Regions from separate parts of the Mus musculus genome. Here all the other regions are reported to be linked to region 2. Evidence: microRNA targets listed by miRTarBase, many of them from high-throughput screens and not tested one by one. Region 2 holds a microRNA gene; each other region holds the end of a gene's coding sequence. Distances are between the middles of the regions.
What was found. Region 2 holds the annotated microRNA mmu-miR-181d-5p (AACAUUCAUUGUUGUCGGUGGGU, at 3,462-3,484, shown strand). A microRNA usually pairs through its seed, bases 2 to 8, with sites in the 3' UTR of a target mRNA and lowers its output. Matches are read on the target gene's strand: a 7mer-m8 pairs with bases 2 to 8, a 7mer-A1 pairs with bases 2 to 7 and ends in A, and an 8mer does both.

Region 1: the mRNA of Spp1 is a reported target of mmu-miR-181d-5p. Seed matches in the 3' UTR shown: 7mer-A1 at 6,448-6,454.
Region 3: miRTarBase lists Lnpk as a target of mmu-miR-181d-5p. Seed matches in the 3' UTR shown: 7mer-m8 at 5,537-5,543, 7mer-m8 at 3,765-3,771 and 7mer-m8 at 2,509-2,515.
Region 4: the mRNA of Ap1g1 is a reported target of mmu-miR-181d-5p. Seed matches in the 3' UTR shown: 8mer at 4,593-4,600, 7mer-m8 at 2,841-2,847 and 8mer at 2,815-2,822.

Annotation. Positions count from the first base shown.
Region 1 is chr5:104,439,766-104,447,496 of GRCm38, reverse strand. Spp1 (secreted phosphoprotein 1) reads right to left here. Exons shown (of 7, transcript NM_009263.3): 7 at 6,444-7,268. The coding sequence ends at 6,879. Among named protein-coding and RNA genes, the nearest start is that of Spp1, 8.5 kb to the right of the region's middle.
Region 2 is chr8:84,174,512-84,182,242 of GRCm38, reverse strand. Mir181d (microRNA 181d) reads left to right here and starts at 3,456; the gene lies at 3,456-3,527. It overlaps Nanos3 (nanos C2HC-type zinc finger 3), which reads left to right and starts at 5,691. Exons shown (of 2, transcript NM_001357361.1): 1 at 5,691-6,168. The coding sequence starts at 5,712. It overlaps Mir181c (microRNA 181c), which reads left to right and starts at 3,282; the gene lies at 3,282-3,370.
Region 3 is chr2:74,515,171-74,522,901 of GRCm38, forward strand. Lnpk (lunapark, ER junction formation factor) reads right to left here. Exons shown (of 13, transcript NM_027133.3): 13 at 1-7,127. The coding sequence ends at 6,889. Among named protein-coding and RNA genes, the nearest start is that of Lnpk, 60 kb to the right of the region's middle.
Region 4 is chr8:109,858,508-109,866,238 of GRCm38, reverse strand. Ap1g1 (adaptor protein complex AP-1, gamma 1 subunit) reads right to left here. Exons shown (of 24, transcript NM_009677.6): 23 at 7,342-7,440; 24 at 2,029-6,145. The coding sequence ends at 6,044. Gm17344 (a long non-coding RNA gene) reads left to right here. Exons shown (of 4, transcript XR_003947453.1): 2 at 6,208-6,366. Among named protein-coding and RNA genes, the nearest start is that of Gm17344, 6.2 kb to the left of the region's middle.

The DNA of each region.
Region 1 (7,731 bases), not on the chromosome of region 2:
AGAGGCATGAGATCCCATTGCAGATGGCTGTGAGCCACCATGTGGCTGCTGGGATTTGAACTAAGGACCTTTGGAAGAGCAGCCAGTGCTCTTAACCACTGAGCCACCTCTCCAGCTCTGAAATGGCTTTCTAACTGTGTCATTCTTTCTTCACATTTTGTTAGTTGAGTTTACCTGTTAGGAAGTGTTTATCTTCTTTTATTCTCAGTGTGTTTTAGTATTGTGGCAAAAGGGTAGACAGACAGACAAACAAACAAACAAAAACAGAACAGAAAAAGCAAAACAGAACAGAACAAAACAAAAACAAAAAACCATAAAAACTGTATGAAAATGAATATATTTGAAAGAAGCCCTTTCCCTCTGGGCTTCACACAACAAAACATGCCCATGGAAAGCCCCTGTTTTTCAAAGGTACGACAATTGAGTGGGGGGTGGGGTTGGGGGTGGGGGTGGGTTCCCCAGTGGAGGAATTGGAGAAGGGACTGAAGGAGATGAGGGGGTTTGCAGTCCCATGGAGGGAGCAACAGTATCAACAGGCCAGACCCCCCACCCAGAACTCCTGGGGACTGGACCACCAACCAAAAAGTACACGTGGAGGGTCCCATGCCACTGACCACATATGTGGCAGAGGATGGCCTTGTTGGATGTCAGTGGAAGGAGAGGCCCTTGGGCCTGAGAGTGTTTGATGCCCCATGTAGAGGAACAGTAGGGCAAAGAGACAAGAGTGGGTGGGTGGGTGGGGGAGCATCCTCATAGAGGTGGGGGGTGAGGGTGGGATAGGGGGCTTCTGAAGGGGAGACCTAGAAAGGGGAAAACACTTGAAATGTAAATAAAGAAAATATCAAAAAAAACCTTCTAAAAATAAAATAAAATGTGCTCTCTCTCTCGTGCGCACACACACACACACACACACACACACACACACACACACAAATTAGCCTTTTCCCAGTGATTTTGTCCAGCTATCAGCTTAGCATTCCTTTTCTAAATCCATCACCCTTTGGTCGGTGATCCTGGAGCTGGATCCTGCAACACACTTGCTCTGCCAACTGGCACAATGACACTTTGTCAGTAGAGGGCACTGGAGGGACACTGCAGAACTAACTAGCTCTGTCTGTCCCTGGTGTCCTTGTTCTTAAAGCAAGACTGGTTGCCTCTTAGATACGGCATCCAGCAGTGCGCACTGGAGCACCCACCCCCAGACACCCTGCCAGCCTCAGTGTGCTGAAGCCCTTCTGCCAGCAGACTGTTAGCTTCAGCCCACCAGCTGCCAACCAGTCCAGAAAAAACCCTGAGTAAACTTTTCTGCTCATCTGCTGGGCTGCAGCTACAACCTTTCTAATGAAGACTTTTAGGGAAGAGAACCTTCTTTGCAAATTGTTCCTTATATGGGTATTCCCATTCCTATGGCTATCATTAAGACTAAGTTCTGTCTTTTATTAACACCTTCTTTCTGGTAATTAATTTTTGGTATAACAGTCTCCCTGTACAAATGGGTTGTGTGATTTCTACCCCCTGCATAAGCCCTGTATAATGGAGAAACAGAATGGTCTTTAATTGTACCAGAATTCAAAGTTCTGATTGTGGGGTTAAGTTGATGATGCCCTTGAATTTCAGCATGTGCTGACAGGAAACAGGCTGCTTGCATTCTATGGTACGTGGGGATGACACAATTAACTTGTGATTGTTAGGGGTTGGCTGTGATGGCAAGAGAAGTGAATACACCAAGAAGTTATGAGTCGCTTCAGTTAACCATGGATGTCACAGTGATAAGGGGTTGTAGTCTTATACCCTAAGTGGCATTCCACACCATCTCTACCGTACAGTAATCTCCACATGAGTCTGGGCTATGTCTGACCTTAATATTTTGTTTCATGGATGTTTAGGTACCAGTACTACAATGCTTTTAGAGAGTGTGTATGTATGTGTGTGTGTGTCTGTGTGCATTAGAGGAGGAGATAAGGAAGGCAAATTCTTCCTTACTTCTGTTGCTTCCTTCTAGAATTTTTCATTATATTTTTATGTGTTATTTTCCACATCAACAAAAATTAGCCTTCATAGTCCTAGGGGAAACATTTAGTTTTATTTATTTATAGGATTTATTTTTTGTGTGTGTGTCTATGTATGTGTGCTTGCATGTGTTTATGTGTACCATGCATGCGCAGTGCTTTCAGAAGCCAAGAGAGGTTGAGTCATGAAACATTGTGAGTCGCCTCAGTGGTCTCGGTTCTGGGAACCGAACCCAGGTCCCTAGTTTTGTTTTTTATTGAAATAATATTCTATTTTATATTACTCGGAGGAAATCAACATATTTTGGGATTTATAAGTCCCATACAAAGAAATGCCACCTCTCTGTTCAATCATATCATTTTATCATTTTTCCCTCCTTTCTTTCTTTCTTTCTTTCTTTCTTTCTTTCTTTCTTTCTTTCTTTCTTTCTCTCTCTCTCTCTCTCTCTCTCTCTCTCTCTCTCTTTCTTTCTTTCCTTCCTTCCTTCCCCTAAACCTTTCCTATGCTACCTCTCTGTCTCTTTCTTTGTCCCTGCCCCTCTCTCTCTCTTGCTCTCTCGCTCTCTCTTCCTCCCTCCCTTCTTCTCCAACTCATGGCTTGTTGTTATAAATGAGTGTTATCTCTCTCTCTCTCTCTCTCTCTCTCTCTCTCTCTCTCTCTCTGTGTGTGTATTCCTAAATATATAAATACAGCCTCCTCAGTTGCTATAATGTTAATTGTATGTATGGTTTCAAGGCTAACCACCTAATATTGAATGACTCAAGGGCTCTTCTCTGGGGACGATGATCTCTCCTGCTTTCTGTGTTCCTTAGTTACATGTAGTTCTTTGGTTAGCATTTAGGGGCCATGAGATTCCCCCTCCCGTGTTATCGTGTCTGTCTGAGGGTGTTGCCAGTGTTCAGGGCTTGTTTAGGCAACCATGCTGATGAGAGTTCATGGGTACAGCTTCCCTGACGACACCTTCTTACAGCAGATTTCCTGGTGCTCCAGTTATTGCAATCTTTCTCTCCTCTCTTCCTCTGTTGGGAGCTATTAAGACAACTCTCGATCTCTAAATTGGGCCTCCCCCCCCCAGAAGAAAAAAGGGGTCAAAAGCGGGCCACCGACTCATGGATTCCGAGAACTATGGGATGTTCCAGCCCTGGGTCATCACTGCTCTCCTGACCACACCCTGACACTACCAAATTCCTGCTTCCCTGTGTAGCTGTCAAAAGAAAGAATTTCTATTGCCCCCCCTTCCCATAAGTACTTCTCCTTTTGCTTGTATTGCCCTACCCCTCCCACTGATAAATACCTCTCCTTTTGCTTGTATTGCCCTACCCATCCCACTGATAATTTATCTGTACTTCCCCTTTTGCTTGTGCATTTAAGCCTTGGACCTTTCTCAATACATCGGGGTCTTGATACAGCTTCAGAACGGTTTCCGTGTCGTTATTCGTACAAGACCCTCGTCTCTCTCTACCCCCCATTTGGTTATTAGGAGGAGGTCCCCTCGAGATCCTCGAATAACTGGACCTGCTGGACGGGTCATTCCTCCATGATCCCTGAGCCTTAGGTACAAGAATTGCATTATAGATGTATCAGCTGAGACTGGGTACCACACAGTCACAGGCATTGTTTTGCATTTTTGTAAGTTGTGGTTTTTTTATAGTGGTCTTCATCTGTACCCAGGAAGATGTTTCTTTGATGGGAAGTTAGATTTGTAATTATCTGTGGGTTTAAGAACACATAGTTAGAATGTTCTTAGGGATTGTGTTGGTTTAGTAAAGTAGCAGGTGTAGGTTACCCCTCAAGATCCATGACTTCACTAGTCCTGTTTAACTGGTTAAGTTTCTAGTATTGAGCAGGATTTACTTCTGTGTGAGTAGGCCTTCGGTCTAAGTAGAGAGCTATTTGTTACTGTCAACATATGCTCACTACTAGTTCACCCTTAGTGATATTGTGCCACACTGGTTGTTATTTTAGTTCACAGGCTGCTACGACTACTCCAGTGCAGTCTACTTGGTAGGCCTAAAGCCTGAAAGTAGTCATGAGGCAATGGGTTTCATGGAAACAGCCTCCTGGAACCTTGGCATTCTCATAGCCCATATACTCAAAACCTGTCCCTGCGTTAGTCTGGTGTTTGGATCCGTGTGCTCTCTTTCAGTATTATTATTATAAGTACCTTTAAGGATTGATTTTTGACATAGCTAAGCCTCTATCAGTGTTCCAATGTCCTAGAAAATCCTTGAAGCCAACTCTGAGCTTGGAATTCAGTAAGAAAGTTATCTATTCAGTAACATTCAAATTCACTTCTAGTAGAGACAGTGAAACTAATTAGGCATTACTATTTACTGGAACAGAGCTAGGAAAGCTCAGGGCTAGTCTGCATAGCAATTACTTAGGACAATAGCTGAGTCACACCCAAACACAGATATACACAATGGCCTAGGAAATAGGTGGGTTGTCGCTTGAAAGAGTAGAAGGGAATTTCCCTGGTGCAGGTTTCTTCACTGGGCCCAGAGGACTAGCATAATCAGGTATTTACTAAAGAACTCCTGGTGGTGGGTTTAACAATAGACTAGGGTTGCATCAGGCCATTCACCTGGCTCCAGTGTTCAGCTGATCTTTTTAAGTGGTAAATGTGGCCTGGCTCCCACCATCTTTTGATGTATGCATTCTTTTTGTTTTGTGTCAGTGTAAACTTGGCGGATGTGTTTGCCTAAATTTCTTGTTTTTCTTCTGTATTAAAAGTCTGGTGTTCGTTTGGACAAAATACATTCATATCCAGCACACTCTCTCGTGTCTGTGTCTGTCAGTTCTTGCCAACTCCACGTCCACCTGCCAGAGCCCCTGATTCCCATGGATTGAGGGGGGCCGACTGAACCTGGTCCGTGGCAACAGGCCATCATGGCTTTGCATGACATTGCTTCTGTCCCTTGGAAGCTTGCATGGTACCTTCTGGCTTAAGAGCCAGTCCTTAGGGAGGAGGTTTTCAGGTTAGATCCAGCCCAACTGTCTGGGTCCTATGTCTGAAGTGCATGGTGTCCTCCAAAATAGGGACTTTTTTATCTTCAACCGTTGGAAGGAAACCAAGGGCCACAGCAATAACCTATAATGTTTTTGTTTGTTTGTTTGTTTTGTTGGGTGTGTGGGGGGTGTCCCTTGGACCATCCAGACCAATAACTCAAAGGAAGTTTCTTGCGCTTAGGCTTGAGGATTTGATAGTCTGTAGCTCTCACGGAGAGCATCGTCAGCCCAGATGGGAAATTTTCACTTAATCTAACTCTCTCTCCTCTCTCTCTCTCTTTCTCTCTCTCTCTCTCTCTCTCTCTCTCTCTCTCTCTCTCTCCCTCCCTCCAGGTGTGTGTCTGTATGTGTACATGTGTATGTTTGTGTGCATATGTGTGTCTGTATGTGTCATGTGTGTATATTTGTATGTGTGTGTTTGTGTGTATGTCTGTGTGTGTGTGTGCATTACATATAATTTTATGAAGGTAGATAGTAATAGGATTCTTTATAACCTTTGCAGACATCCTCACTGGTATTATACCTACTTCCTTCTGGATTTATCTCAGCCCCTCCCTAATCACTGTAGCCTGGCATCCATGTCCCTATTACTCCCCAACATTCCATTTCCCTCTTTACTTTCCTGGTTTCTGCAGTGACTCCAGACTATGCATTTACATCTGAAGCCTTGAAGCTAGGAGCCACAGATAGGCACCCATAACATTCATTTCTCTTGGTCTGGATCACCCCTCAATACTTTCTTTTCTAGTCTCATTCACCTACTTGCAAATCTCATGATTTAACTTTTCCTTTAAAGCTGAACAGCATCCTATATACTGTATATTTGTGCCATATTTTCATTATTCATTTGTCAGTTGAAGGATATTTAGATTGTTTCCATGATTTCTAAAAGGGAAATCTAGTTCTAAAGACTAAAGTCACATGTGGCACTACAATATTTCTGAAAGTTCATATTTGGATGAAACTGAGAACGTTGGTTTTCAATTGAAACACACACACCACACACACACACACACACACACACACACACACACACACACACACAGAAGCACGCACACATTCTTACCTAAGAATTACTAGAATAGCTAGAAGACAGACACAAGGTTCTATTAGGGCAAGAAAGCCACACATTTACTGAGCAAAGATGATAGAAAACATAAACAATCAACTTCTAATTCCATTCAAGTTTCAAGCTTTTGCTCGCTCATATATTAATTAGTATATGTCATACTTAGGTGAGAATATTTCCTGAGGGAGCCTTGTAGGTTCTGGCTGCTGTCAACTCCCGGGTAATCTGTGTTCCTCTGACCATTAAAACCCTAAATGGCTTTAATTAAACTGGGCATGTCCATTGAAATGGTTATATTTTAGACATTACAAAATAATTTTGAGAAACTAATAAAGAATAATTGACACCACCAGACTCCTTACATTCGTTACAAGATTTATTCACACCAACAAAAAAAATAATCACAACAAAATATATGCTAATTATAAAACTAAAAGGGTATAGTGATATAGACTGTTACAGTTTCTCTTTTAATTCTGCTTGTTTCAGTAAATTTGCTTGTTTCTACATACATTTTATTCATAAAAGAATAACAATCATTAAAATGCAGTGGCCGTTTGCATTTCTTGTACAGGAAGAACAGAAGCAAAGTGCAGAAGCTTTTGGTTACAACGGTGTTTGCATGAAACAACAGACTAAGCTAAGAGCCCAAAATATTACCTCTCTTTCTCTACATACATATATCCACTGAACTGAGAAATGAGCAGTTAGTATTCCTGCTTAACCCTCACTAACACTTTTTCTTGTTTTTACTAAATGCAAAGTAAGGAACTGTGTTTTTGCCTCTTCTTTAGTTGACCTCAGAAGATGAACTCTCTAATTCATGAGAAATTCGGAATTTCAGATACCTATCATCTTCCTTACTCTTAGGGTCTAGGACTAGCTTGTCCTTGTGGCTGTGAAACTTGTGGCTCTGATGTTCCAGGCTGGCTTTGGAACTTGCTTGACTATCGATCACATCCGACTGATCGGCACTCTCCTGGCTCTCTTTGGAATGCTCAAGTCTGTGTGTTTCCAGACTTGGTTCATCCAGCTGACTTGACTCATGGCTGCCCTTTCCGTTGTTGTCCTGATCAGAGGGCATGCTCAGAAGCTGGGCAACAGGGATGACATCGAGGGACTCCTTAGACTCACCGCTCTTCATGTGAGAGGTGAGGTCCTCATCTGTGGCATCAGGATACTGAATCAAGAACAAATTGAAGAATTATATAAACAGACAGGAACAAGAGCATCATAATGCTTTGATCTCTAACTTTTAGGTCAAACTGTACTGAATATTTTTAAAATTTTGACTGAAGAAAAATAATATTAGTGTGTACTTTATATTTCACCAGTCAGCTTCATATCAATCATTTCTGGTTTAATAGGGATATCATCTTTGTGTGTGTTAAAACCTATAAGGTTCTATCTCTGATGAAAAGGCATTGAGCGTTAAAGTTAAACTGAACAGTAACGCCAAGGCTAAGTCTAAGCCGGACTAAGTTCATTGTAACAGTGACTTTACAATTCCTCTTACCCACTTAGCTTCCATTATATATGACTGTTTTCTATATATGGCCATTATTTTTAACATATAATTGCTATTTTCCAAAGTAGCTATTTAATAACATAAATTGCTCTTAAATATTGCTAAGACTTTGAAT
Region 2 (7,731 bases):
TGCCTCAGCCTCTTGAGTGCTGGGATTATTAAAGTCATTCAACACCATGCCCAGCCTTTTTTTTTTTTTTTTTTTTTTTAAGATTGGCCTGCATCTGCCAGGTACAGAGGTGATAGGCTCTACAGCCACTGTGTCCAGCAACACTTATTGAGCAGTTATTATGGGACACACCTATGACTCACAGTGAATTCCCTGCCTTAACAGAGTTGGTATTTGAGTGGGAGACTGGCCCTGAAAGACACCATCCTTATCAGCTGACAGATTATAGTCACCCAGTTACTCTTGACAAACCCCGCATCCATACATACATCTGTGCACACATAGACCACAATTGGACACAATGAGCTTGACACACCCATCCACCTACAGTGTTGACATCACACATAAACAAGCCCATAGGATTGGCATATATACACTAATACACTAGTGGTGCCACCAACTATGGTACACCCCCCCCAGAGTCCCCTCCCCTCCCCCTGAGCTCCCTTTAGCAGCAGAGTAGTCTAGAGCAGACCTCTACTCCAATCCATTAACAGGTGTATATAGCAGACAAATGAGTTTGTGCAGACAGCCCACCGTGATGCATACCCAGGACCGCTCTGCTCCTTGTTAAAGAAGTTCAGAGGAGTAGCTGGAGTTCCCATCACTTCCTTGATCATAGCCCCTGACCCAGGAGAAGCCAGACCCCTCTCACTCATCTGCAGGCCTGGCCTCACATCCAGACAGCCTGGAAATTTGGGGCTTTTGGCCTACTTATAGTACATAGGAGCTCCTGTCTGAGCTCCCCCCCCCCCACTCCCCAGCCCCCTGAAAGACCCGAGTATCTGAGAAGCTCCTGAGATTAGGAGGGAAGGGTGGGTATCTCAGAAGTCGTGTAAGTATGGCAATAATAATAATTAATAATAATAATAAGGTCTAGACAACCTGGGCCACCAATGTGACCCTATGGAGATTCCCACCTGTCCTGTCACTATCCCCCCAATAATGGACTGTTTTCCAGGCCCTACCTACTCTTCCCTTCTGCCCAGCTGATTTACACACAGGTATTGCACACTGAACACTGCAGACCACAGGGCACAATATAGCAGACAGCTAACCCATCTTTTACTTGATGGTAGAGCTACCCCCATCTGGCTGGGATTGGCATTTCACCTCAACCTGACCTCTAGGACTTGCCAGCTGCTCAGAGAGACTGGGGCAGGCTCCACCTAGGTCATTCCCAAGCTGACTTCTGCGCTGCAGTGCCCCTGCTTCTGGACCTGGGGTTGGGGGATGGAAGGAGACAGTTTCCCACCCTTACACTAAGGGACTTCAAAGTCAGACCTCCCGCCCAAGCACTCTAGGCCGACCAACACATGGCGGGAAGTAAATGATCAGCCCCTAGCTGCAGGAATTCAGGTCAAGACTCTGATCCTCACACACCAGGGGGCTTGGCTGCCAAAAACCTCAAGGAGCAGCCCCGGGAAGAAGAAGGACAGACACATAGGGAGGGTGCAGGCAGACCCAGACAGTCGACCCCCGCTGACAAAGGGCAGGCAAGCGCAGACAGACACTGAGGGCGGGAAGCCCGCACCACGCCTGCAGACAAAGAGACAGGAGGGGGTGGGGCCTGGCGCCTCCGCCATGCCACGCCCCCCGCCAAACTCCCACAGGCAGGCTGTCCTGCCGTGAATACCCCTAACATACACCTCCCATTATGTAAAGGACAAAAATCAGAGTTCTGCAGGGGAAGTAAGCAAAGTGGACTTACAGAATAAAAGAGGGGTGTCTGCAAGATGGCCCGCATTGCCCAGAGTGTCCCGTGTGCCTCATAATCCTCCATTTTAGCTTTCAGGAACCCCCTAAAACTGTTCTGAACTGGCAGCAGGCCCTTCCCCAGGGGCACAGTGGTGGTCTGTGCAAAGCGCCTGTGACCAGCTCATCTTCATCTGACCAGTCTAGACCTTTATTTCCTCAGGGCTGAGAGCTACCAAAGCAGGAGACCTGCCTTTCCCATGCAGGACCTCTTAATCCATGGCCAGAAAGAGAGGGCCCCTGGGGCTGGGAATGTGACCAGTTACCGGGCCCTGGGCTGAGGAAGCAGGGTTAGGGCTCTACCGGGAGATAGTGCTTCCTAAGTCTTGCTGGAGCCAGGGGCCAGGTTTGGGTCTGTAGGTAGGGGTGGCCCTTAAAAGGAGCTGAACTTCTAGGGAACTTCTAGGGGTGCCCTGGAACCACACTGAGGTGCTAGGCAGGGGGTAGGACCTAAGCTCTCAGGTGATTGAGTTTGGCGTTAGATCTAAAAGGGATGGTTTGTAGGAGGGCCATAGGGAACCCTGTCAAAGGCCTGAATTGGAGGGCAAGTCTGCAGTGGTGGCCTGGTACTGCACAGGCCGGTGCTAACCCTGCAGGAGTTTCACACAAGCATACTACTACATTTAGTGTTCTTGATCTGTCTTGTGTGACTTCAGGAGATCCTTGAGGGTCACCTCTCCCTCTCTGAGGTGTTCTGAGCTCAGTTAAAGCAAAAGGGAAGCCTCCCCCCCCCCCCCCGCACTCCCCCTCCCGACCATTTAGAAGCCTTTGGGTGGGGGTGGGGTGTGTCTGTGTATAGCCTTCTTTCACAGCTCACTGCTCTACTGGGTAGGGCAGTGGTGGTCTCAGAAACCGTCAAACTAAGTTTAGTGACCATGGGAAGGTGGAAAAGTTTACAATATATTGAAAGCCTTATTTATCTCAAGTTTGCTGGAGAAGCCCTGTTACATTGTATAAAAGTAACTTGTTTACGGCTCAGTTGCCCTATGCCTAGCCCAGGCCCAGACCAGAACCTGATGACCTACCCGAGTTCCCAGAATGGTGGCTAGAAAATCCCCACTTTGTATTTTGGCCTCAGTCTTTCCAACTGACCAGTGAGGGGAATTTGTATCTCTCAGAAATGCTTTGGAGGATTTTATTTATCACAGTACTTAGCCCTCATCAGGAATTCACTCTTTAGGTCAGGTTAGCCTGTAACCTTACTAAGGCCATCCCAACCCTCAGACTCCAGAGTGCTGAGATATCAGTTGTGAATGCATCCCTTGAATATATATAGCACATGAATTGAGACAGGCACATTATCATCTCTGTTGCAGGGGCTGCGTTTTTTACATTATGGTTTGTATTTGTGCTGCTTCTTCTGAGTCTCCAAAAAAGAATAACTGATGGCTGATTTTGTGAGTCAAAGGGGACCCTGGTTTCTCTCTCGTCCCACATGCTCTCTGCCTTGCTGGCCTACTCTCCCAACTCCAGTTATCCAAGAACTTGCCAAGGGTTTGGGGGAACATTCAACCTGTCGGTGAGTTTGGGCAGCTCAGACAAACCATCGACCGTTGAGTGGACCCCGAGGCCTGGAACTGCCACCCGTCTACCCCATCCCCACCCTGTAGACCCGGGAGAGCCCCAGGCAGCATCCCCTGCCTCAGGCCACAGCAAAGGTCACAATTAACATTCATTGTTGTCGGTGGGTTGTGAGGAGGCAGCCAGACCCACCGGGGGATGAATGTCACTGTGGCTGGGCCAAACAACACCATCAGGGATGGGAAAGAGGATAGAACCCTTCAGATTTTGCTTGTCACTTACTCCCCTTGGGGAAATGGGACTGGTGTCTGGGATCTTGATGGGCTGATTGGAATTGGGAAATAAACCCTGGAGGGTTAGGTGTTGGGGAGATCCTAAATTGGGAGACTCTGGGGGGATGATGTTTGCTCAGTGATGCTCTGCAGTGGGCAAACTGGTAGATGAACATGTGACAGATACATGGGCAGGTGGATGGATGAGCGGGAATGAAGTCTGTCCTAGCAGTGGTGACTCCTGTTTCTTTTTGAGCTCAGGCTGCAGGCTCCTTTGACAGGTGTCAGATAAGGGGGCTGGCACCTGCTGGGGTATGCCAGTGCAGTTTGTCTTCCTGTGCTTGAAGGCTCTTTCCCCTCCTGCTGCATTCCTAGGTTGGGGTAACCTTGAGGCTGCTTAGCTAACTGGAGGGGGAAGAGTTGGGAACTCAACTTGGTAAGGTCTTAAACCCAGGACAAATGGCTGAGGTGCCTATTCCTTTATCAAAGTTGAAGCCGCAGGCTGCCATGTTCTCGCAGCATCCCTCAGTTCCTTTAACAGGGTCCTCCTTGTTGACATATCTTGTCCTTTACCCTGAACTTCTCTAGCCAAGGAACTAGGCTGGGCTTTCCCTTCCTGCAGCTTCTCTGGTTCATATATAGGCCAACCTTTTTGGTTAGATGCTCCTTTTTTCTTTTGTCTTCTTTTTCTTTTCTTTTTTTGGTTTTTTAAGGCAGGGTTTTTCTGTGTAGCCCTGGCTGTCCTGGAACTCACTTTGTAGACCAGGCTGGCCTCGAACTCAGAAATCCGCCTGCCTCAGCCTCCCGAGTGCTGGGATTAAAGGGGTACGCCACCACGCCCGGCTTGTCTTCTTTTTCTTGTTCCCCTTTCCTTCATGCCTGGCTTAGTCTGCTGGTCATGTCCACTCTGGAGACTCCTAGGTGTCCTTGCCCCTGCCCCTGCCTGTAATTGTCCCTTTTATCTACAAAAACAAACCACTTCTCTACCCACTAGGAGCATTCTTTGTTTGGTTTAGACTGCAGGACTGAGGTGCGTATTTTACACATCAAAGCAGACCTGGCCTCCAGGTTCTCCCAGCATTCCTCAGTCCCTACCTGGCATACTCTGCCCCCAACCTTGAACTTTCTAGCCCAGGAGCTGGACTGCCCTCCCCCGCCCCCCCAGAGGCTCTTCCCTATATAATTCAGACATTTTGTTTTCTTCTTCTCTTCTGTTTTCTTCTCTCTTCTTCTCTATCGTACTTACACTCTTTTTCTCTTTTCTTCTTTCTTTACTTTAATTCACACCTCAAGACTAAGTTCTCCAGGACATGAAAGTCTGTTAGTGAAACCAGAGCTTTGAGACCCAGTTGTCATTTTCCTACCCCCAGCCCCACTTCCACACTCAGGCCTCCTTCCTAGGAATTGGGATTTCTGCATTACCCCACCTAACAAGAAACTCTTGTTTCTTGTTTCTTGCACGCCTTTAATCCCAGTACTTGGGAGGCAGAGGCAGGCGAATTTCTGAGTTCAAGGCCAGCCTGGTCTACAGAGTGAGTTCCAGGACAGCCAGGGCTACACAGAGAAACCCTGTCTCAAAAAAACAAAACAAAAAAACCCCAAAAATACAGGAAGAAAGAGAGAAAGAAAGAAAGAAAGAAAGAAAGAAAGAAAGAAAGAAAGAAAGAAAGAAAGAAAGAAAGAAAGAAAGAAAGAAAGAAAGAGAGAAAGAAACTCAAGGCCACATGATACCCCCCACCTCCCACCCCCTGCCTTAGGGGAGAGAGAAGAAAAAAATTAGTAAATCTGTTAGTGTTAAACCCTGGGGCAGAATTCTTAGCCATCCAACTCCCTCCTCACAGGGGTTAACCTCCCACAGGAAGGGGGAGGAGACCCGGGGGAAGCCTAGGGCGGTCAGTAGCTTCAGTCTGCATCTGGCTACTTTCAGCCCACACAAACACCATATACCCCCTGCGCAGGTGTATAGGAAGCCCCCCAGTGACAATGAGGGACCCCCCCAGCCTGCCTGCTCCACCCTTTTACACCCCCTCTAAGTAAAAGGAAAGTAGCCAAAGAAGCCTGAGCTTCAGGGTAGTAAGGAAGTTGGAGCCAGGTTGGGTTTCTTCTCTGCTCCTCTGCCCAGCCATGGGGACTTTCAATCTTTGGACAGATTACCTAGGTCTGGCAAGACTGGTTGGGGCTCTGCATAAGGAAGAGGAGCTTGATGTAAGGCTGGATCCCAAACCAGAGCCCAAGCCAAGTTCAGAAAGCCAGCAAGCCAGCAAGGAATCCTCTGCAGCTCCTGAACGCTTATGTTCATTCTGCAAACACAATGGCGAGTCCCGTGCCATCTATCAGTCCCATGTCCTGAAGGATGAGGCAGGGCGGGTGCTGTGTCCCATTTTGCGGGATTATGTGTGTCCCCAGTGTGGGGCCACTCAGGAGCATGCCCACACTCGACGCTTTTGCCCACTCACCAGCCAGGGCTACACTTCTGTCTACTGCTACACCACCCGGAATTCTGCAGGCAAAAAGCTGACCCGGCCTGACAAGGCAAAGACACAGGATGCTGGCCACCGCCTTGGAGGAGAAGCAGCAGCAGGTGTCTATGCAGGTGGTTTAGGGGTTGGGTGGAGAAGGCTTTCAGTTTTTTGGGGTGTTTAAATGTATTTGATGCCAGTATCTTAGAAACTAAGGAATCCACAGTGTATAGCTGAGAGCATGAAGCAGGGTATATTTAGTTCCTTTATTGCACAGGGTAGTAGAGATATTGTGGGGTATGTGGTGATCTCTGATTCTACCTGGGGGGTCAGGAGTTGTGAAACTTACAAAGGGAAGCTTATAATCCTTTCTGAACCTGGAAATCATTTATTCATTTGCCAAGTGACATTTCATGTCTGTTTGCCACTGGGTGCGGGGTCTGCAGTGAAGAAGGTAGGCAGGAGTGGCTGTTAAGACAGTGCTAAGTAGGGGACACTTGGTTCAGATGAGGGGTCCCAGAGACGGGGACTTCTAGCAGTCATAATTCCTTCAGTTTGGGGGGTGAGGGGTGAGAAGTGTGACTGGGTATGGGTCTGTGCTGTAGGGTGGTTAGAAATCATTGGATCTAACTTTTGGAAGTTTGTAGTTAGTGTATAGCGTTTACGAGACCAAGAATTTGCTTCTCTGTCAGTACCATAAAAAATAAGTTTGGGTTGCTAGCAGGCTGACTCAGTGAGTAAACAGTCTGCCTCTAACCCTGAAGACCCAACTTTGACTTCAGGTTGTCCTCTGACCTCCACACACACAAATGGGGGTGGAGGAGTGCAGGGGGCATGGGACATAGGACACAGAGATAGGGCAAGGATTCATCAGAATTCTAGCAGAAGCATCAGACCAGGACAAGGGATTCCAGAGCCTCAGGAAGGTAACTGCCATGGGCCTCAAGGCCCAGCTCCCAGCCAGCAGGGAAGAAGCCAGTTGGGGAGGCAGAATGGGGAGACTGCAGTAGGACCTTATCAAAAATTTTGCTTGGTGGGTCTGAATTAGTTTTTTGTTTTTGTCTTTTTGTTCTATGGTCTGGCTTGGCTACAAGCTCCTTCATATCCACTATGCCACATCACCAGTCCTTAAGAGATGTAGATAACTTTATTTCATGTGTGTAGATGTTTTGCCTGTGTGCATTTATGTATGTATATGTGAACAGTCTAGAAGATGGTATGTGAACTCCGGAACAAGTTACTGCTGGCTCTGAGTGGCCATATGGGTGCTGGGAACCCAGCGAGGGTCCTCTGTGGCAGTGCTAGTGTTATTTTTACCTGTCAATTCTGTTTTGTTTTCATCTTTTACTATATTTTGAGACAACACTTCATTTTGTAGCTCAGGTCTATATCACCCAGCAAAATACAGGATGGCAGGTGCTTGCATGCCTAAAGGCTCTGCGGGCCTCAGTTCTGTGACGCCATAGGAGGACCCCCAAAGTTTGTGGGTGCACCACTGAAGGTGACTCAGAGAGTCAGCTGGCTCCCTGGCCATGGTTGGTTGTTGGCTGTGTGCTGCCTCCCTGAGAAGTCTGGGAGCTCCTAGAGGGTGGCTATAGGCTGGGGAGTCTCCCTTAACTTTCCAGTGGAACTCTTAGTTAGAGGCTGATTACCTGCAGGTGAGGACCCCATTCTGCCAAGTGGTT
Region 3 (7,731 bases), not on the chromosome of region 2:
GACCCATTTCCATTTGCTCTGTTTTGCGTTGAGGCAAGAACCCAACTTTAAAGTCTATATGCTAACCTATATATTGAAAAAGGAAATAGTCTTAGATTATCTTGCATAAAAGTGTGTGTGTGTATCTAGGCCCCACTAGACGCAGATGTCAAAAAGTAGAAATGTAAGTAAGCTCTAAGCATCAGTCATAGCATCAGATGGGTTAGAGGCAGGTAAGTGAAAATCAGTACAGAGCCAGTACTCTGAGGCAGGCTGATCTCTGTGAGTTTAAGGCCAGCGTGGTCTACACAGCAATCCAAGGTCAGCAAGGAATACATAGTGAAACTCTGTGTGTGTGTGTGTGTGTGTGTGTGTGTGTGTAGTGTACTATGTATACTCTTAGACTGATATCTTTACATATCTCATAAGAAGCAGGAAAAGGATTGTTGAACTCAAATGATCTTACACAAAATTCTTAAACCCAACCCAAGTATCAGGCTCTTCTGAGCACTGCCGACTCTCCCACCTCATCACGTGTGTTTAGGTCATCTCCAGCTTAGTTCACTCATATTATTGAGGCTCCCCTGTTTCAGGCACCAAGAGAACAAAAACAATATATTCTAGCCCTCAATTACTGTTCCCTCTCTAGTCCCAAATCCATCATTCATAGGAGCTTCACACAGAAACAGCACACCAACCTCGTGTGTTAGTTAGCAAAGGCAAGTCCACCACTAAGTAACTGGAATCCAGCTTTCTGATTATTTATGTAATATGTCTGTGCCAAGTACTGGTTTACTTTGGTTTGAGATCAAGAAGGATATAACTAAGAAACATAGTCTGTGTTCAATATTCCATGAGAACTGAGAAGCAGACCTAATAAGCAACCAGGGTTCTCCCATACAAATGACATGTGAGATACCATCCAACCATGAGAAACTGAAGGGCTTTAGCCTAACTCCATAAGCTAGCAAAGGAGAGCACACAGATAGTAAAGAAAGCAATCATAGTCACCATGTTTAAATCCTATTTGCAGCTCTATAAACCAGCTTTAGGAAATGAATTCCATCTACATGTGGCACTTGTCTCCCTGAAGTCACTGGAAGAACTCTAATAGTGTGATTGTACCTAGAGTACAAGCCTGACCAACAAGCGGCATTGTGTGCACCAATCCTGCCTGCAACACCGGGCAAAGCAGACTAAGAAATTTATTTCCATGAAAATAAAATTTCTCAGTTTTCCTAAAGCAAATGGCAGGGATCTGGTAAAAGCCTCAAGTAGCTAAAAACTTGGCCTCTTTTCACAGAATTCTGGACTGAGGGAAGTTTTTAAGAACACTTTTTAATCTTCTCAGAATACTTCCAACATTTATCAGTTTTGATGCCAAGGGAAAAAGGCAGGGATGGCCAGCATGCTCTAGAATCCACCTGTCACCACCCCTTAGTAATGGGGTGACAGCAGCAGGCAACCAACCATGCCATGCGTTTACGCAGGTGCTGCAGACACAAACTCAGGCCCTCCTGCTTACACAATTTTCTCAGCTCCACTTCACCAATATTAAACAGCATTTTATTTTTACATTGATTTCATTTGTGTGTGTGGGGGGGGTGGGGGGAGCACAAATGTGCCACAGCAGGCACACAAAGGTCAGAAGACAACGTGAGGGAGTTGGTTCTCATCTTCCACTGTGTGGCTCTCAGCAATCAAACTTAGCTCATTAGACCTGGCAGCAGGTACCTTTACCTGCTGGGCCGTCTCTTGGGCCCTAAAGAAGGTTAAAGGTAGTAGTTTGAAAAAAAGTAGAAAATGACAATTAGTTTAAATAAGCTGAGACAAATTAATTGCCTAAAGACTGATGCAATTCAATAAGGTTTTAATTCTGCACTCATTTTAGTTTTCATTGTTTCAAAGACACAATTTTTCCATATTTATAATTGTTTGTCTAACTTCAGAATATTTTTATCTGATGGCCAATAGTACTAAAACACTTAGAAATTTAATAAACTTGAAATAAGTCAAATTATAAATGGTTTTAATTCATAACCATTTCTACACTGATTCATCATTACTTGGAACTGTATCTAATGTCATCTACAATTTTTATACCACATAGAAACATTTTTTCTGCTAACTTCCTAGAGAAGTTCCATTGCCCACAACCACTCAAAACAGCTGTTCTCCTCAGTCTACCCTTAAGTGACACATACAAAAAGCTAACATGGTATATGGTAGGTAATTAAGGTAGGTACTGTCAGTTAGAAATTAACCTGTTAACGAAATCATGAACGTATTAATATTGAAACAGTGAAAATTCATGGTACAATATAAATAGTCCTTCATTAAATCTGACTTGGCTCAGATGCCAAGTATCCCTGACCTAAAACTGACAATCATTTAACATTCTGGAACTCAGCATATATTATCTTAATGACAATCATTACATAATTAAAAGCAATCTCTCCTCCCCCCACCCATCTACCTCTCTCTCCCTACACACACACACACACACACACACACACACACACACGTAACACATTCAGTTACAGACTTGATTCTACTGTGAAGATGTATATGTACAATGAGTACATGGTGAAAAACTCATAGTTTATAATAAATAATAACATTTCCAACCTTGGGTTCCAAGCGGTGCTACTCCAATTCAGCAGCTATATATTTATTGATTACATAAGCTATTTATTACATAAACGAGGTATTTCAGGAGGAAGAGCTTGAGAAATGTAGGCAACTAGGAGAAACTTTGCATATATGCAGCACTGAAAACAATAACCTATGTATACTGAAAGGACGTAAGCAGTGGAGGGGAGGGAGCAGCGACAGTAGTTGTAATGCAAAAAAGTTGCTGTGAGAGCCAACTGGAAAGACAACTGCTCCGGACTTTATCAGTCAATACAGTAATTCAGATGTCCTCTCTCAAACACAGAAAGACTGAAGACAGCCACAAAGGTCTGAGGACCCACTGCACAGAATGGATAGGAAAGCAGCATGATCGCAGACAGAGTTTAAAAGGTAGCTTTCATCCCGTGAGGTGACAGAGGCAGGAATTAGAAGGTAATACAATGATGATTAACAGTAAGGCCTTGGGAGTGGAAGAAACAGTTCAGCTCAGAGCAGGGCTTAGCATGTATGAGGCTGTGGCTTCAATGCCAACGGCATCACAAGTGATCTGCTTACAGTCAGATCTCAGACGTTTCCACACACCAATAGAGACCTCTAGGAAGGCTGCTTAGTCTTTCTACATCCTGTTTCTTTCCCATACTCAAGATACAAAATCTCCACAGGACTGTTCCCCCCAAAAACAAAATTGTGTGTAAGCACACATACATACAGCAGGTAGCATTTGTTTGGTGGAACAATGCAGATTTATCATTAATATAATTCAAAAGAAATAGAAAAATAATATAAGTGTAAAATGTTTAGAGGAGAGCAAGGCACAGCAACTCATAGAATGATTCCAGCACCTAGGAATCTGAGGCCTCAAGTCACAAAGCCAAGCCAGGCTGGGCTATATTGCAATATTCTACTGGGGATGTGGGGGAAGAAACTGGGAATGAATACTTTAAAGTCAGAGGGAAAGAGGGAATATATTTTAAATTCTGGTTTTAATACTGATGGTATTTGGTGAAATGACACACAAGTTTGAATAAGTAGGGGTTTTTGTTTTTTGTTTTGTTTTGTTTTTTAAAGAAATACTGACTTCACTATGCCATGGCAGTAGGTGCGTAAATACATAGCTACGAAGGCAAAGAAACAGACCACACTAAGCTCTGACATTCATAGACAGACAGTAACTATTAAGTCCCTGGGCTTGAGAATGAATGCACAGAATAAGAACTGACAATAGCTGGAAGCCAGAGAGCATCAACATTTAAAGATGGCAGAGGAAGTCTTCAAAGGATGCTGAAAACAAGAAGCCAGGGAAGGTAACAGCAGTGCACATGCAGAACCTAAAGGATAAAGGTGTCTCAGAAAAAGAACACTCAGCCAAGTCAATCTGCCAAGCAAGCGCATGAGTTAAGCACTGAGCAGTCCCTGGATCTGGTACGTTATCCACATGAAAAATGAGCAGGCACTCCACATACAGACAGAAGAAAAGCAAATTGTGAAGACAGTTGAGGGAAAACAAGATACCCTGCAGTAAGAATTCAGAGCAAAGACAAAGTGACCTGATACAGGACTAAAAGGGTTAGCTTCAGACAGAGAGAAGAGGAGGCTCTCTCTGTCAGAGAAAAATGAAGCTGACATTGAGGCAGAAAAGGCAAAGCATAGCCACAGAACTGAGCGAGAGTCCTATAGCTACAGTAGAAAGGTGTGGGTAGGAAAGACAGAGAGAGAAGCTAAGCCCTGTCTTCAGGCCACACTGAGGACACAGTGAGAGGGACATTAAACAATGACATGCTGAGCATTTGTGAACAGGGAAGTTCTCCCTCATTTACACTAATCTTAATAATCAGAAATGTGGAGTCTCATTCACTTCAGACATTGTCTACTATATCAGAATAATATTTTGTTTTAAAATACACCAACAATTACCCACCTGTTGTGTTAATTTTACTAAGCTCCTTTTAAGATTTGGATTTTTATTTTTAACTATGTGTATCTGTGGGGAAGAGAGTACACATTAGGCTAGTGTCCTAGGAGGCCAGGGAGAAGCCATCAATTCTGCTGGATCTAGAGCTACAGGAGGGAGCAAGCCACCCAAGCTGGGAGCTGAAAAGCACACTCTGGCATTCTGTAAGAGCAGTTCCCATTCTTAACACTGAGACACCTCTCTAGCTCCCCCTTTATATTCCTTTTGGGGGATGTTTTTATAATATCTTCTTGGTTTCTTCATTAAATCCCATTTCTCTGAGGTACTCATTTTTGAGCAGTGCATATCAGATGTTTTAACAAGACTTAATATGGTGCTACTAACACACACACAAACACACACACACACACCCCTTGTAAAATTTACAAACAAAAAAAGGTTATATGAAGCTGGAAAAATGGCGTAGTGACTAAGCCAAGTTTGATCCCTAGCACCCACGTGGCAGCTCACAGCCATCTGTAACTATCATTTCAAATGACCCAGGTATCTGACCTCTACAGATACCTGTCAAGACATGTTGGACACAGACATTTATGCAAGTCAAACATTTATACTCATAAAATAAAAATAAACACATCTTTTTATAAAAAGATTATATTCTAGTTTCAGTTCTCCATTTCTTTAATCTATCATTGACACGTGCATATGACATTAATGCAGAAAATTTCTGTTCAGAACAAATAAATTGAATGCTCATAGTTTTCTTTAATTTCATTATCTACCAAAGAAAGGATCTACGGTCCTTCCATATTTCACAAGGGTTTCAATAATACCAATAAATTCTACCATGTAACCTAATACCTATTAATTAATTATCTAGCAAGAAAGCTAGGCACATCATATAACTTATTTTTAACTTCCCAGTACCTATGGAAAACATATTATTCTTTTCATTTTACAGCTTAAATAAATGCAGAGAGGTTAGGTGAAATGCCCACGATTGCAAAGCTGACATTCAAGTCCAGTTCCACATGCTTCAATTACAGGCACTACACTAAAATGCCTCAGAATATTAACAAACTGGGTTCTTTTATATATGTCAGATGAGGTATTACTCATAAATATAAACTTTTAAATGATAATAAGTATATTTAAACATTTGATAGCTAAAGGATTAGCCAGAAACACTATCGTAACATGTCTCCCCTATGATGTAAATTCACTTCAGTTGTTTCAACATAAGACACATAAAAGGAAACTAGAACAAATAATCATATTGTGTTTAAGAATAACTAGTCTACATCAAAAATCTTCCCACCTGATACTTGGTATACATACTCAGTCTAGTGAGTTTCATTAAATTTAACTGTCTTATCTTTAAAAATGCATTTATTTGTCTCTCAAAGTTAAAAACTACCTATGCCATAATATGTTTCAAAATCAGAAAAAATTTAACTTCTGATTAGAAACACTAAACCTCTTATGTCACTGATTTTGAAAGTCTAAATGAAAAGAAAAACATCATAATTTGCTATATAGTTTTCATACAGTGAGTTTTCCCTACCAAGGTATTTTTCAGATAGCCAAGTCATCCATCAACATACTATGTGAGGAAGTCTAGATATTTAACAAAGAAAAACGCTGCCAGGTCATCTTTATTTTCCTTAACAAAACACACACACACACACAAAAACCATTTATATATCATCATTATATTACAAATATAAATAATACCAAGAATTCAAGTACAGTCAAGTGCAGATGTATTTCCTATTACTATGTAAACATTAACTATATACATTATGTGCCTTTGGCCCAGTTGTAAAATAAAAGACATCAAGAGAAATACTGCACTTGACTGTTTAGTTGCATTCTTACTGAGAATTCGTACCAATGCGTATGTAATTAAGGTTACAGCTTTCAGCATTACTTGGTGTAAACACCTAAACAGATATTTCCTTCCCACTGGCAAATATCTCCAAAGTTAAAATTTAATGATGAAGTATTCAAAATCTTAATTATGTTTCAACCCTTAAATACTATGGAAGAAATTATTCCTAGCCAAATTTGTTCCTATGTCAAAGTGGGTATTATTTACAAGTTATACATGTAAAAAACATTTTTTTAACTTTAGAATGCACAGCTATGCCTCTGCATATTAACTGATACCACGTGCTTTTACTGTCAATACCTAGTGGTAGTACTTGGATACACTGAACTTGCTGGGCAATCTGAATATGAATAATATTAAGCGTATATCTAGAAGGCAAATTTTTCTTGAGTACCACAAAAAAAAAAAAAAAAGCAGTAACTAACATCAACAAGACTACAAATATCCAGTTGAAGGCACATGGAAGTATTTACTACTTTGTCACCAAAGATTCTTCACTTGGTTCAAGATTAGGAACAGAATCAGCTCTGAGAACAGGTGACTTGGCTTCGTTTGTTGAGGTTTCCTCGTTCTCAGTCTCTTCTTGGTTCTCTGCTGGCTCCTCTGGACCAGATGTTTTTTCAATCACTTGGCTTGTCTGCTCTGTAACTGGTATTTTGTCATCTCTCTGCTCAGTACTATTATCAAGAACATCTTGTTCTTCTAAAGAGTCTGAAAAGAGAAAAAGACATAAGATTTCAGGGATATCTAAATGTCAAAACTGCTAAATAAGACAAGCCAAAGATAAACATACAAACATACTAAGAAACGACAGAATGGTCTAACATTACCTTTTAATTTTCACTCTATTGCATAGCACTTAGAGAATTAGTATAACTAAATAACTGAAGGAAATAAACCCATACTTTAATAATTTCATACACAATGAGTTTGGCCTGTGTGCCCAGGGCACTTCTTGATTGATGTGGACAGTGCCACCTTTGCTCAAGTGAACTTGGGTTGTATAAAAAAAGCAAGTTGAGCAAGTCATGGGAAGCAAGGCAGTAAGCAGCACTCCTCGGTGGCCTCTGCCTCAGCTCCTGCCTCCAACCTCTTGCCTTGAGCTCCTGCCCCACGCCCCTCAATGATGGACTGACCGACCCTTTCTTCCAGGGCTTGGGTGTCTATCACAGCAATAGAGGAACCTAACTAGAACAACAAGGAAGAGTCTAAAAACAAAGCAAACATACAGTCACCCAGGCTACTGAGCAGAAAATCATTTTTCTTACACCTAAGCAAAACTGTAAGCAATGTATAAATGTATGCTTTTGTGTAT
Region 4 (7,731 bases), 26 Mb from region 2:
TTTACAGATCGCATGTGACTTAATCACTTTGGTGTCCCAAGTCCAGCAATGAGTTCATTCTAGGGAACAGCAATGTTTTATAGATGGTTATCTTTTTCCTTATCTGGATAGTAGCCTACACCATCAATTTAAAATGAATCCATATGCTAGAAGCTAAGATTTACTACTTCAAACTGGCAACACCACTTATTAAAAAAAAAAAAAAAAATAGCCCAAGAGCACTGGCTCGGAAGGTCTCAGAGAATCAGTTTTTTCTAAGCAGCTACCTTTAAAGGTCCCCACTACTTCAGATCCAGTTAATCAGCAATAATCAGCTGATGTCTCCTTTTCAGATTATGGACTGCCATTAACATAGCACACTGTCACAAAGGTCACAATTGGTGCTCTCCCCCAGGTCAAGGCAACATGTATGCCAAGTGTTATGTAACCATCATTTCTGGAAATGGTGAACAGCTGAGACTAACCCTAAAAATAAATTCCTCTGGGATTTATGTATGTGTGTGGGGTGTGTGTGTGTATACACAAAACCATCTGCCATCACTGCAGGCTCCTCACTACCCATCATACTAAGGCAAAGAGGCATTAGCATCCCTCCTCTCCTTCCTATTGGGCTCCACACGCCCACTACCTCTCCAGAACACCGTCGAGAAAGAGCGCTAAGGTCAGACTATGTAGAGGAGCCTGGAAGTTCAGATCTATTTACTGATACCTAGCTCCCAATCTTTCAGTGATCACAAAGTCTTCGTTAGGCCCAACCCCAATGTTATGCTACCACAGGATAAGCAGGTCTAGGCGTTGTGTCCTCTGGTTCCAATGTTTACCTGATTTCAAAATTTGAAGGAATTTTTTTTCTGTTTCTCCTTTTAACGTGTGCCTGGGGCTTCATATAAGCTAGGCAAGAACTAAGCTGCACCTCCAACCACTGAACAGTTCTTCCCCCCACATATAAAGACAGCTGAACTGGAGGAGATCACAGAATAATAAGCCATTCATGTGATTAAAATTAATCTTGTAGTTCTGGAATGACATTTAAACCTATGCACAACCCATCGTACTGTTAAGTAAACATCTACTGTCTGTTTACTGTGGCTTTTATAGTTTCACCTAATTATATTTAGATTTCCATCAGTTAAACTTAAATACAGAAACGATGTATTTTAACTACTCCAAGTAGAAAACAAGTTTATAGAAATGTTATCAAACAGTGCCAAAGGGCACTGCTGCATAAAGGAGATAACCTACCCAGGCCCACACCCTCCCCCTCTTCAACCTGGAAACTGTCATATCTTCTTCATTCTCAATTAAGGGAATGTTAGGGATTGTGAGAGTCAAGAGAAAACCAAGAGCTTTCAACCTTCAGCAAAAAACTGTTATCAAGTTTGTGAAGATAATTTGCCATGCCAGCATGAGGACCTGAACTCCCCAAAGCAGGTCTAATGTAATCACAGCCCTGGGGATGTGGAGACAATAGCCACCCAGCTTTGTCTAATGGGTGAACCCCAGGTCCTAGTGACTATTTCAAATAACAAGCAGAATGGCTCCTGAGGAACAACACCTTTACAGCAACAGAGGCTGCCCTTTCACCTGCCTCCCAAGTAAAAAAGGAATTCACGTGTTATGCAAAATAAGCCATGGAATGTCATTCATTTGGGCTAGTTAGGCCTTTCTCTATCAAGTCACCAAAACAACTCACCAAAATCAACCAAGCAATCAATCAAACAAAACACGAACCCTAACTTATAATAAAACATGGGTACCCTTGCTACATAGTTCATCATAGTGGCTTCAGAGCTTTGAGGATTCGCCTATGTGGAGAAAACAAACCTGACAGTAACTGCATTCCAGTTAAATGTCCACTTGCTCTTTGGACTTTTCTCTGTGTAAAACATCTACAAGGTTTTTAAATGTTTCTTCTCTAGGTGAGATTTCTGCTCAAAGGAACATTAAAAGGCTCGGTGTAGCTCAAAGCTTTGGAATAAGAATTCATCTTGGGCTTCTGATTCACATCCAAGAAGCAAGGCAGCAAAGTTTAAATCATTGAGTATTGACTTTTTATTATTAGTCACTGTTCATAATTTGTTTCAACCAAAAGACAATACACACAGCAGAATCCGAATGCATCCCATGTAAATGTTTACATCCATGTTATTCCTCACTCGCCTCCAAGAGACTTATCATTTCACTTTAAAGTGTTTTACATCTCAAAAATATGTCTGCAATAATTAGAACTTCATTAGCTGCCCCACTTGGAAACAGCCTTTTAATAATTTTACAGTAAAGAAGATGTGATGGGGCCTAATGAAAACCGTAACTTACAACATAGTAAAAGGAGAAGGACGATGATACAAGAACACAGTGGGGTTCACAAAGGAAGGAGTGCAGAAGCCCTTTCCCATGAGGTCCCCCAAATAAAATAAAAACAAAACACACAAAGCGCAAATGCAGGTCTTTAAGGGGAGAAAGTCTCCAATGCTCTGTCTTGAAGCCAGGAGCAAGAAGCAACTGCTCAAGCTGCTTCAAGCCGCTTCAGCTTTTTCTTCTGTTTAAGAGTTCCAGGTTCTGGGACTGGAACCTTGTCCATGGGACCCACTCTCTGCTATTGCTTGAAAAGGGTTTTCACTTTCAGTTCCACAAACAGCCCCACCCTCCCGAGCCAAAGCTGGTCAGAAGTATTTTAAACTTCAGAACTTCCTGTGCAGTTCTCCCTTCCCCCACACCCAGACTGACAAATGCCCTCCCAACCACAAAGTTTGTGAATATGCATTTTTTGTTGTTGTTGTTGTTCTCTCTCAGTTTAGGGCTCTGTAGTTAAAATACATTCAGTAGGAAAAGAAAAATACACATTCAAACTCCTCCTTCCCCAAGTTTTCACGGCCGAAATATATTCCAATGTAGAAGAAAATAAAGTTGAACCACAAAAGCGGTATTCCCTAACTTCCAACATTCTCTAAAAGGGCGCAGAAATGAAAAGCAAGGTGTCATATGGGAGATGGAAAATTTCAAACTATTAGTGCTGGACAGTTTTAAAAGTCTGTTTTCATATGTGAGGGAAACAAACAAAGGTTAAGAGCCACACCAGGAACCAAGCAAGGAATACCTGTACTGTTACACTGAGGAATGTTGCTTTAAATGAAAAAACCAAAAAACAACAACCAAAAAAAAAACCAAAACACCTCGAAGTTTAACAGATGATAACATACACAGCAGAAAACCTCCATGACTCCCTAAACCATCTCAAGGTAACAGCACCAAAGCATTGTGGGAGAAGCGTGTACAGTTGTCTGAGATTACTTAGAGGAACTCTCCCTTAGGGTGACTCTGGGATGGGAAAGAAGGATGACATAAAAACTACTCCTCGAGGAAGGCGATGCTAATGAGGTACAAGTGCGTATAAAACTGTCAATAAGTGGGGCTCACTGCTTATCACCTTGGCTTTATTCAAAAGTCACAGAAATCACTCTCTTCACAAAGGCTCCGAGGTTGTCATATACATCCAAATCTGTTTCCTCTTGAAGGGTCACGTGTGGGAAAGGAATGACTGAAATGTGCGCGCGTAGTCACAGAAACGAAGAGATTCCTCCTTTAAGCTGCAAGGCCGAGTGAGAAGAGAACTAATGCTCCTAGAAACTAAGAAGGCACGCTGAAGCTTTCAAAGATCCAATCACAGGGGACAGTCTTCACAACCGTCAGCATCCTAGGCAGGCATCTGGCTGCTAGTCCGTCAGTATGGTGTTCAGGTCGTCTCCCAAATGAACTCCATATCTACACAGCACCCTTTGTGTTAAGGCCATGATTTTTTTTTTCCTTCTCGATAAAGCCATGGATGATTGTAAATGCTACCTCCAAACTCATCACCCGGGCTGAGGCTTTGTCCACAGAGGAGATCTTTCCAGCTCCATCGGCTAGCACTTGGTCTTGAGCAGATTTCTTCAGATTCAACTCAGTTCAACAACAACAACAACAAAAAGCAACCAAAAAACCTGAGCTGGTTAGCTACAAATGGAGAAAATAAAGCCTCCACACAAAAAAGGAATGTTAAGACAAAATTCTATTCAAGAAATCCACCAATACAGCATTAATCCTATCACGTTTCACAGCATTAACTATGCATCCAATGAAATCCGTCTGCAGGAAATCCTAACGGCTCCCACTGATCAGGCAGAGCGGCTGTCTAAAGTCTGCACTTGTCCACACCTGTTTTGCTGAACACAGGAGAAATATCCTGTTTGTAACTCAGATGTCCATTTACCCAGTCAAGTAAATTTCAGTAAATCTTGCTCTTACAGGACTATTAAGACCAGAAACTTTCCCTTTTGGAGCCTTTAGTTCAACTCCAGTTTGTCAATGTTAGGAATAGTCTAGCATCTGATACAGAGCTAGGTTTGACAAGACACTGAAGAATTTAAGTAAAGGCGTGGTGAAATGGAGCAGGGAGAAAGGGAGATTTGTATCAAGAGTTAAAACTGAAGCCAAAGTGTCGTCTTACTGCATAATACAGTAACAACTGCAAACGCTTTACAAGCAAGGGGGCCCACTTTTACTTTCTCCTGCAGTAAACTGGACATGATGCCTGAATACCTGAACATACATAGTACATTCAACGTGTACCACAGACAATCACCTTCACCTCATTCCAACAATTCAACATAAAGATTTGGTAATATTGGGGTCTTTTCTAAAAAACACTCGGCACTCTTACTGTTTAAAAAGCTCAAACCTTTAATTCGAATGTTCATGAGATTGGTTTCTTAAGAGACCAATTTCTCATACTCAGGAAAGGACATTCCTACCCTATGGTGACCGTAAGACTTGCTCTCACATAGGGGGCAAGGAAGCTACAAAGCTTCATTTCAACACCATAAAGTACAATGTGGGAACGATTTCTTTAACCGTGTGGTCTTTATTTCAGTGCCAGTGTTACAGATACAACACAAATGTTCCAGTTAGAAGAAGGAATTCAAACGGAATGCCAAGGTCCAAGCCAGGCTCAGGAAACTAAAAGGGAGGATTGGAGCAACGGATAAGCTGACTCCAGAGTGAGTCTGGGTCTGCTCTTCCTATGGGCCACGGTGTTTTGTGACAGAGTCTGCTCCTTAAGACTGAACTCCTCTTTTGACCCATTTACCACAGCTCAAACAGGCAAGTGACAGGCTTGGGAGAATCATTGTGGGGGAATAGGATCATTAATAACTATTCATGTGTCTTTTAGAAAGTATCCACTTTGCAATTTAATGGGAATTGATCTTGAAAATCATGGAGCGAGAACTCGTGACTACAGCTAAAGAACGAAGAGAAAGGGAGCTGGAAGAGCCTTGAAAGTTTCTATTACAAATAGAGCACCATATCCTTCATGCCAAATCTCAACCCAAGCTCTCTGAACTGCATCTGTCCAGTGTTTACAAACAACCTCTCAAGGTCTAACCAGCTTTTTTATATAACAAACATACATACATGTGTGTCTGTGTGTATACAGCAATGCACAGATAAGGCTCCAGGAGCCTAACACCTCTTTCAAACATCAGGAGAACCAGCAGAAAAGGGCAGAGCTCCCTCGTGTCCACTGTTACAATTCCATTCCAGACTTACGATGGAAACCAGCTAGTGAGGAATAAACACCCCACCTTGCCCAGTCCACAGAGATGCAACAGTAGAAAGTAGGGGCCACTCTTGACTGTAGAGACAGAGTGTTTGTTTTCTTGCCGTGAATCCCAGTCCTCTCCTCCAGGCCAGCTGCTGATTGCCTCAGTGGCCCAGAGAATGTTGATTCTGGCTGCAAATGTGGGAGGGGTGAAGTGCAGAAAAGGGAGGAGAGGAGGAAGAGTGCAAAGTAGCCTCGAGAAGCAGCCAGCCTCAACAGCGGAGGAGAGGACATTAGTCTTTACTGATGCTTCAAGGTCAGCAGTAACTTGAGGAAAACCCTCCTCAACAGTTCTCTCAGCTCCTCGTGCCCATGGTACAGTTGGGGGGACTTGCCAGCAATCACAACCTCCTTCCCAGAATTCCTTTGATTGAGTGGGATAAGAATGAGAATGGTGCTGCATCCTCATTGCCAGGACTGAGGGGGGAAATTGTTCACTTCTGCTAGATCTTGCATTGCCGAGCCCTTGTGATTATATGTGAGCTTGATCCGCATTCGCAGCTGTTGCTATAAAAGGGAAAGAGAACCATAAATTAATTCACTGAAATGAAATCTCCCTGTCTCTCCAGTCTACAAATGGACTACTTCTTGGAAACAGGGTTCCACTACGTTGACCAGGCTAGCCCCGAACCCTTCAGTTCAAGTGATGCTGATTCAAGCTCCCAGGTACTGAGGACTACCGGGCACGTGCTGCCATGCCTGGCTCCACAATGTATTTAATCCTAAAGGTAAATAGAGTGCATCCAAGGAACAGCTTGACTGGCTGTGTCAAGCGGCACAGAGACAAACAGCCAGTGCTAAAGCATCTGTCACTTAGGAGCCTAAGGATCAGCATCAAGCCATCAATAGGAGAGAACACACACATCTAGAATACCAAGTAGGTCTCCGATGGTGGGGTTGTGGGGTGGGGAAACAAACGATTTAACACTTTGTCCAAGTCTCTAGAAAAATGAGGAAACACACTGTCACAAGTTCTACATATGGGTCACCTGCTGGTTGGTTTACGAAACCCACAGTAAATATCATCAATGTTTGTATTTCTAAAGCATAAAAGAAATACCTGGGTACACAGGTAACAAGAATGGTTTTTTAAGAGTATTATACTTTCTGTGACAAATGTCAAATATAAAAACATTGTAAAAAGTTTTGATGCAGATATCAGATGATGAAAATAATGTGTGCTTGTTTGTACTAATGACATGATCAAGATACAAAAGAACTGAGAAAAGGCAAAGTAATATAAAAGGAAACAGCCAGAGAGTCTGAAAAGCAAACACTGAAAACCACACAGCTAGTTATGAAGCAGGACCAATTGATTTTATTGAGAAGATAATGTGAAACTCTTGCTAAATGGGTTTCTACTGTTTTCATTTAACTACTTCACTTAAAATGCTCCCAGTTTTGATAATCATACTAATTACAGCAGTAAATACGGATTTTTGATTTTACCTCTGATTTAAACTTTTGCTAAATCCTCAAAACTATACCTTTAACCCTCACAATAGAGAATTTTTAGTTGCATTTTAATGTCACTAATCTTTTTGATGTCCCTGAGCTTGGTTTATCTTTATAAAAGAACAAGGAAGTTAGACCAGGCATTTTCCTAGTTCTGAGTCAGAAACATATAAAACTGAAATGAAGATTTATTTTATAAAGTAATAAGCTTATATCGTTTACAGACCTGTTTCAAATGTACTACTCACCTTCTGTGGATTCAGAACTTTAATGACTTGTGTGATGGTCCCTGTATTAAAGGCTGGGACAACGCTGCTGCTAGGAGACAGAAGCTGCAGCTGGAATGTCTACAGAGGAACAAAGGGGACTCTTGAGAACAAACAGCAGTGTTAGGTCAAAGATGTCAGCAAGTAAGAAGTTAGACAGCCAGCAGATGGGTCAAAAAACAGGTTTCTCTAAGTTTTGCCCAGTGCATACATTCCAGACACCTACCCATGATATATAAGCAAAACATCACTCACTCAATTCAAGTCTCTGGTTGTGGGAACATAAAGGTGCCACTTTCCTGTCTCTAGCTAAGGGAGCTCTAGACTCACTTCTCAAAAGGTAACCCTCCTTGTTCTGGAAACCCAGCTTAG